Linked DNA regions of Oryzias latipes. The protein of the gene in region 1 interacts with the protein of each later gene in a biochemical or structural test. Links are inferred from orthologs where the notes say so. Each region holds a gene or a part of one and is shown in the gene's direction. Other genes may lie near its edges. The genes, in order: dcaf11 and slbp.

Region 1 (3,818 bases):
GTTCGCACAAGTCAAACAGGTTATTTAATAGAAACGCTGAACATTTTTAACGCCAATGTTTTCATTCTGGATTTGTTTCCTTCCTTTTTCCAGAGCAAATGATGGCTGCCTTTACGTTTTTGATCTGGAACAGAACAGACGGACGCTGAAGGTTGGATTCTTGTGCATAGTTTCCCATCTTTTTTCTTCAAAAATCAGTGTGTTTTGGCCCCGTAGTACTTCCTACTTTTCAATACAACTCGAGAAAATTCACATTTGTTGAGCTCATAGAGACGAGGTCTACAACCTTTTTCAGGCCACGATTACTTACATGTCAGACAATATTTTCATGGCCTGTCTTTAATTTAGCTCCCAGTTTCTCTAAACTTTCGAGGTAAAGTTTGTCTTCATCCTCTGGGAAATATCTGCATTTGTTTTAAACTTTAATTGAACACTAGATTTCAAGTAGGAACTTTTCAAATGTGATACAGATTACTGACAAAATGGAAGCAAAAAAAAAAACCCAACAGTGTCAGTTTTACTAAAAATAATAATAAACATGAACCCACTGTTCCTCATGACTTCAGACAGTTGGTTGCTGAATATTATTAATTATTATTATTATAGTGTGTGGGAACAACTATCCATATTTGGAGCAAAGACTCTTCGTTTTTAACGTTAAATGCAGATTTCTTCTGTTTCTTCACTGGCTCCTTTCTGTAAAAAGAACACGTTCGATTCTTTTTTACATTGCCATCTTGGGGATTTCAATCTAGCGGTCCACACAGCCGATTTAAGAAAGTAGTGAATGTATTTTCGAAACATGACCTAGCGACTTAACCTGGGTCAAGAATGAGTCTGATGTAGTGGGGCATCCAGTCGTTTTCCCAAATAAAACTGCATAAAATGGGAAAAATGTAGGTCGTGGTTTTTTGTCCTCCGCTATGGAACGGTACCGGACGATTGTTTAAAAACTCACCCCTTGGATTAGAAATTTGCAGCCTTTTTTTTGTTGATTGGGTTAATCAAACAGAAAAACGTAGCCTTCGTTTGTCAAATGTAACAAATTAAAAAGGAAAAAAGGAGTGTGACGTACAGGATTATTGGAGCTGAAATCCGATGCGATAAAGGTATGTTGTCCTTAGATGAACCCTGGTCTCCATAATCCTCACAGAAGCTTCAATTATTGGGCTTAGTGGCACCTTTAGCTAAATTAGAAAGAGGACGCTGATGTGGAGTTTTGTTTAAAGCGTAGCATCAAAGGGAGCAGCCCCACCCTGCAGAGAGGCAGTCATGTTTAAACCCGCCTCTCCTCCTCCTCCTCCTCCCCCCTCAGCCACCCTCTGTGTACCAGTCAGCCATTGATCTCCACCATCTGCTTCATATTTGTCCTACTGTCTTTCAGACTCTCTCCCTCCCATTTTGCATGTGTGTTTGCGCATGTCTGACTAGACAAAGCAAGAAAGAAATTCATTACCACAGACCTCCCTGTGTTTTGCACCTGCCGCTCTTAGATTGACGCCCACGAAGACGACGTGAATGCGGTGGCGTTCGCCGACTCTTCGTCCCAGCTGCTCTTCTCTGGCAGCGACGACGCTCTGTGCAAGGTGTGGGACAGGAGGACGCTACGAGAAGACCGACCGCAGCCCGTCGGACAGCTGGCTGGCCATCGAGATGGCATCACCTTCATCCACAGCAAGGTATGCGTGTTTTGGTTTAATCCATCTGTGAGAAATTTCCTCTCACAAAGCGATCGGTTGAGGAGTGTGTATTTTTAGCCGAGCGCAATTCGTCTGGAATGTCGGTGTGAAAGTGCGCTTCGTTTTCTTTATTATTCTTTCCTCCCGGTTGTGCCAGGGGGATGCGCGCTATCTAATCAGCAACTCCAAGGACCAGTCCATCAAGCTGTGGGATGTCAGGAAGTTCTCACCCAAAGAGGGGCTGGCTGCCTCCCGCCTGGCCGTCACCCAGCAGAACTGGGATTACCGCTGGCAGCAGGTTCCCCAGAGAGGTGAGGAGGGAGACGGAGGGATTGGAGTTGAAGCAGAGGGATTGGAGTTGAAGCAGCCCTCCTGATGACATGGCTTTCAGGCTGCATATAACGTACCCATGCTTCTCGTTTGTTACTGTGGCTGCAAACACTAATTATGTTGTGTTTTTAGAGCATGCATGAGTCACAGCACAGTCACAGTCTATACACTAATTAGAGATATTTTAAAGGCTCACTCCAATGAAAATAACATTTTTAACATGTTCTGGTGGCATTTTTCTGATGGAGGACATATAATAAGAATAAGCTAAACTCTGCATTACTGAGTATTTCTTGTTTAAAATTGCTGTGAATGGGGAGCAGTTGAAAAAATGCAGCTGGAAAAAGCCTGTAGCTGTAATGTAGGTGCTACAATCAGTGGGCCAGACGTTCCTTTCTGATGCAATAAAATCTTTTGAACAAAATGCAAATTTTACCTACCAGTAGTAGGTAACTGTCCATGTGCAGTGACTGCTAGCAAGCGAGTGTCAGCTAGTTTCATGTGTTTTTAGCAGCTTGTTTTGGGGGTTTTCTCCTTCAAACATCTGCTTGAATTCTTCCACCTTTAAAGAGGGTCTTGTTCTTGCAGCCGGCACTACAAAAACTGAATCTTAAGAAAGTAAAAAGACCCTTTTTCAAGAAACATTGTCTTTTTTTTGTCTAACCTAGAATTTTATTCAACAGAAAAATGATCTTAGTGTGAGAAAACCTGTCTTAATGACTGGAATTGTTTTCTTAAATGTGTTTCCCCCCATCGTCCTTGAACATTGTCGTGTTTTTTGTATTTGCTTTTTCTCACAGCTCTAAAGAAGCACAAACTGACAGGTGACACTTCGGTGATGACGTACCGTGGACACGGCGTTCTCCACACCCTCATCCGCTGCCGCTTCTCTCCGGAGTTCAGCACCGGTCAGAGATACATTTACTCGGGCTGCTCCACCGGCAAAATCATCAGTAAGTCTCTAAATGTAAATACTGTACGTGTAGACCGGATGCTTTTATTTTGAAGAGTTGAAAGTGTTTGAACGCTGGTGTGTGTCCAGTTTATGACGTGCTGAGCGGAGCCGTGGTTTCCAGGCTGTTGGGTCATGACGCGTGCGTGCGGGACGTCAGCTGGCACCCGTATGAGGCCAGCATCATCAGCAGCTCTGTGAGTATCTTTTAAGAAATGGAATAGAATAAGCGTTCCTGTCATTGTCACATGTTACATGCACAACAAAATTCCAGAAAGTGTCATTTCAGTCGCATATTCAGAAAAAAGTAAACAACATAATAGAATGTCATAGTCCATTTAGGGCAAGTTAAAACACAACACAGAAGGAAAAAAAGTACAAATTACATTACATCGGGGCAGCACTGAGCTTCAGTGGCCCTTAATTCAGTCAAAAAATAAAAAAACGTTCAATTAAACTGGATTTTTTTCAGATCTTGTCTATAAGTATGAGGCTTCTGCAGGAAATCATCTCAAAAAACAAAAATTCCAGAAAGTAAAAAGGAAAAAATAAGGAATAAAAAGGAAAATAAATTTCATTTTAATAATAAAATATAAATTATGGGTTTTAAGCTTTTTAAACAGTTAGTAATATTATTTAAAAAGTGCTTTTCACAAATAGAATCACTTTATTTAAAAAAAAAAGTAAAAGATTGGTATTGATCACATGGTAATTGTAATTTTTTTATTTCTTTTAATATTTGGATGAATTTAGTTCCATATTTAGATTAGCTATTTGCTGTTTGACTGCCCCAATTAGCAAAATAATTAGTATTTCAAGTGTCTAATTATTATCCTTGACATTTCAAAATAAAAACT
Region 2 (4,560 bases), on another chromosome or scaffold:
CTGCAGCCCGTCAAATGGCAAATCTGGTGGGGGTCGCCAGAAGTAGTGTATGCCTTCAAGCTGAAAATTGAGTCATGTTGAGTTTGGCTGGTTTGTTGGACCCCATGGGACAGATGACGGGTATCAGCAGTCCAATCAGCATGCAGTAGCAGAGGCAAAAAGTCTTCCCGGGAGAAGTTCAGGAGTGTCATGGAGACCCACTGTCAGTTTGAAGGAGATTCAGGAGCGCTTCCCTGCTAATACTGTCTACAGTATAGGTGGAGAACTGTTTACATGGGTTGTTGTGATCTAACAATATGTATGAAAAGTGCTGAATAAATAATTAAAAAAATGGTTACAAGAGGTCCATGAACCCTGCTCCTGCACAGCTGCAGGTCCTACAGCTGGTTTGAGAGCAACAGAGATCAAGGAAGACAGAAAAACAAGCAGAATAAGCTACCGGTACATCAACCACAGAAGCAAATTTTTAGGACAGGTACTTTTAGGACATATTGTGTTTCAAAATGTACTTTGTATTAAATTCCATTACAATACTGAATCTATGAAATATCTTTTTAACAATTAGAATACTTCCTTTAATTATGGAAAAAACACTTTCAACAGAATAATATGAAAGTGGTACAATGAATTCCAAAAAACATATGGTTGTGATATTATAATCCCAAATAGATGCAAAGAGCTTTTGAAATGGTCAATTTGTCTTGAGCCAAAACATTATATTTCAATTTTAAAAATAGATGTAACCCTGCAACGCTGAAATCAAAGGTTAGTTTTACGTTGAAGCCTGGAGTTTTAATGCTGTTCAGGGTCATTTAGTTGCTGGAGCCAACCCAGGTACTCTTGGGCAAAGGTGGGGTAGACAGTTTGACAGTCCATTACAGGGCCACACAGAAACACACACACTCACATTCCCACCGAATAGATAATTTACCAATTAACCTGTGTTGCATGTTTATGGACTGTGGTCGGAAGCAAGAATCCCTTGAGAAAAACCACAGATGTTTGGGATAAACATGCAAACTCTAAACAAAAAGAACCCATCAAGGATTCCAACACATAAAAAGGACATTGCTAACCACTACACCACTGTGCAGCTTTGCTCGGCTTAATTCAATTGCAATACATTTTGAACAGATTGATGGTTTTTCTCACCATTTTGACAACCCCTAATTTTAATTCATTACTGTTTAAAATAAACGTAGGCAAACAATGTTAGAAGATGTCACTTATAGATTAAATGTTCCCTCGATAAAAGCTCCTCTTTTATAGAGTCGACCCTATTAACTGTAGACATTAGACTGAACAACACAGACACATTTAATGAAAGAGTTACATGTTTGATTTTTCCTTTAAAGTTAGTAAAAGAATAAGCATCGCAGTTGTTTTTATTTGTCTCTCAATTTCTGATTGTGCTCAATTACATATTTTAAATGTGTGAAAATAAAAAAACAGCTCAAAGCTGTCAGATCCATGTCATATGAGTTTTGATTTAAAAAATCTTGTTAATTAGAAGACCCTTTATGACGTAATAGCTTTTGCCGTTATTGTGGGTGGAGTCAAGGTTTTTTATTTTTATGATTAAATGTATTTACTTGTATTTCAAACTATATTCTTTTTCATACAAAAATAAAAAAAACAAGTCTGAACATTTTTAAATTGAAGGGTTCGATGGTCACGTGGTTCCCAGCGGAGTGTTTGGCGCGGTGCCTACGGAAGTGACGTAGCACTCGTCTTTGTGTTTGGCGCGCCGCGGGTTTTTGTTTTCTGTGCTTGGCGCAACTCGGGTTTTGGTGTCAAACGAGCAGTTTTCCCGCAGAACCGGATCATGTCTACCAGAACCCCTGACCGGCGGACCGACGCCACCAGCAGCCGCCGCGAACACACCCGGAGGTGAGGAGTTCCGATCCAGCTTGGTGAATTCGGAGAAGGCTGTTCCGTTCGGACTGAACGCCGGGACCGGCGGACAGCAGACCGAACTACCGAGAGAGGGAACTCCAGTCCTGCTCCTGACTCTAAACACATAGGTTTTTAGTCGGTTCTTGGCGGGTTTCCAGAACCTCAGAGGTCTTGAGAGTCCTCGACCACAAAAAACTGTTTTGACCGAACGAGCAGGTTTAGCTGTTTATTAACAGAACCGGGACGGATCATTATATACGTCGGTGTTCATTCTTTAAACCGGGTTTAGTGGAGACGGAAATGTAAATATCCGAGCTTTAACGTGTCGTGTGTGGTTCTGTGGATCCTCTTCTGTTGGATCGTGTTCTGTTTGGGAACAGTCCTCCGGAAAACCTCGCACTGTTTCTTGGTTCCGCTGCGCGGGGCAAATGCGCGCCAAAGCCGCACCTTTAGTGCAGATCCTACTTCATATAATGCAGTAAAGGCATTTCCACCTGCTGCTGTGAGGCGTTTAGACAGGAACATTGTGTTTTTAACATGTTCGTCTGACTGATGATGGAGGACACACCGAGAGAAAATTAGCTTTAAAAAACTTTTTGGAGTTTTTCTTTATTAAAGTTTTAGTTAATCAAGAGTAAAAAGATCATTTTTGTGACGTTGAAAAGACGTCACAAAAAATACAAGATCCCTGCTCCTCTCCATTCTTATTCATCATCTGTCAGACAAACAGATCCATGTTTGTCTTTGTTTTCTCGTCTGAGCTGGAATCTGGATCCAAACTGGACGTCTGGATAGATCCGATATCGCTGGCTATTTTTGTTGCATTGATAATGTTAAGTTGGAGCTGTAAGCAAGCAAACAAAGGCATGATGGGTAAAAAGGGCATGTCCTCTCACCGCCAACAGCCACAACTCAGAGGAGAATTCCTGCCGCTCTGCAGAAACTATGTCCTAGGTCAGGGGTGTCCAACTCATTTTTTACTGAGGTCCACATCAGCATAGCTGCAGTCCTCAAAGGGCCAGATAAACCTGAAAAATAAATGTAACTACTACTTAATGTTAAATTACTCATTTATTTATTCTAACTTTTTAAAGTGACAATTCCAGTTGCATAGAAAACATATATTTGTTGTTATTCTAGCATAAATCCTTTTACATTTGATTCTGTCAGGTTAAGTTATATGGACAGTGTTTAAGTCCTACTGTTTAGTTGCCCAATCCCATATTTCAAGTCTGATTCTCCCTAGATATGAATAAATACACACCAATTTTTATTTTTTATTTGAGAAATTAAAAACTTTTATGCTCTTGCGGGCCACAGAAAATGACATGGGGGGCCACGTTTGACCCGCGGGCCTTGAGTTTGACACGTGTCTTAGAAAGTGACATAGGTTGTTAGATTATGACTAAAAACGCCTTGATCCTAATTCAAAGACCACTGGGAACACTTTTACAATAGATCAGAAGAGACAACAAGCTCTGTTAGAAACCCAAACCCTCTGGTTTACGGCAACAGTTTTAAAGCCATGCACACGGCATGTCTGCACTCATAATGAAGACCCCCCCCCTCTTCTTTACTGTCCAGCAGCGGTCCGTCCCGGTGGTCCCACTGCAGGAAGAGAGGCGTAGACGGGAGCATGCGCACAGACGAGCATGAGCGCACAGACGAGCATGAGCGCACAGAAGGGAGACATTCCAGGTAACGTTCCAGGTATATTATTATGATGATGATGTGGTCCATTTACATTACTGAGGCCAAGTGCTCCATCTACAGCCAGACAGCCACAACCACTGTCCTGTGTTTCAACCAGTTACTGTAAATGAGAACGGAACCGACAGACTCCTCCCCCTGGCATTCCAAACAGGAAGTACCCGCTGGTTCCAAAAAGCTAAAATGCCATAAACTTCCATAGAGAAATAAACAGCTGTTACTCAGTCATTTTATTTGTCCAAATAACTTTTTTTGCTCTGACACCTTTCATTAACATGCCCTCGATAACTCGTTTTTTTATATTTTATCTTTAGTGCAATTTATCCAAAATATAAACTGACCAATCAGAGCATTTGATTGACAGATTTTGTGCAGCCGGTGGTTCTGCTGGTGGAAAAACTGAGAACTTAAAGCAACAGTATTTAGGTAACAGTAAAAAAGCTTTTTCAATCCATTTATCTTCACTTTTGAACCAATCACATTCAAGCTCACTCCTGATTGGCGAGAGCGGTTGCCGTAGAAACATTGACTCAGACAGACTCGATTCCAAAATGGTGGCGTCCGTGTTGCAAAGAAATGGCGACTGAATTGCCTTCATATGGTTGGAGCCAGACGTGAACCATCTTCTACGGTTGACGTCACACTCACTCAGTCACTCAGTCCAGTTGTCATTACAGTCAGTGGTTTCAGCGGTAATAGACGGCGGTTTGGACCCCTGCAAATATACTCCCAGATGTGGGGCTGAACCCGTTTGTCTTTGTCCCCCCCAGTTTTACCACCCCAGAGAGTTCAGGTCCCGTGTCCCGCTGCGCCGCGTCATCTGACTGGGGAAGTCAGGTGGAGGACAACGAGATGAGGAGAGACCTTCACAGAGACCTGCAGCGGTAAATGTCCTGTGAGCTGATTGGCCGTGAGGGTGCATGAGACCTGAGCGTGGGCTTTGTCTAGGTACAG

Evidence for each region.
Region 2: the proteins of dcaf11 (region 1) and slbp form a complex in vitro, tested with the Homo sapiens proteins (2 studies listed by BioGRID, with this or other methods). The link is inferred for Oryzias latipes from reciprocal best matches to the Homo sapiens genes DCAF11 and SLBP.

Annotation. Positions count from the first base shown.
Region 1 is NC_019878.2:12,376,612-12,380,429, forward strand, and holds part of dcaf11 (DDB1- and CUL4-associated factor 11), read left to right. Parts: intron 1-93; coding exon 94-151; intron 152-1,493; coding exon 1,494-1,679; intron 1,680-1,836; coding exon 1,837-1,990; intron 1,991-2,809; coding exon 2,810-2,962; intron 2,963-3,051; coding exon 3,052-3,158; intron 3,159-3,818. UniProt on the Homo sapiens protein: May function as a substrate receptor for CUL4-DDB1 E3 ubiquitin-protein ligase complex.
Region 2 is NC_019868.2:4,691,389-4,695,948, forward strand, and holds the start of slbp (histone RNA hairpin-binding protein), read left to right. Parts: upstream 1-1,702; 5' UTR 1,703-1,825; coding exon 1,826-1,890; intron 1,891-3,480; coding exon 3,481-3,594; intron 3,595-4,376; coding exon 4,377-4,490; intron 4,491-4,554; coding exon 4,555-4,560. UniProt on the Homo sapiens protein: RNA-binding protein involved in the histone pre-mRNA processing.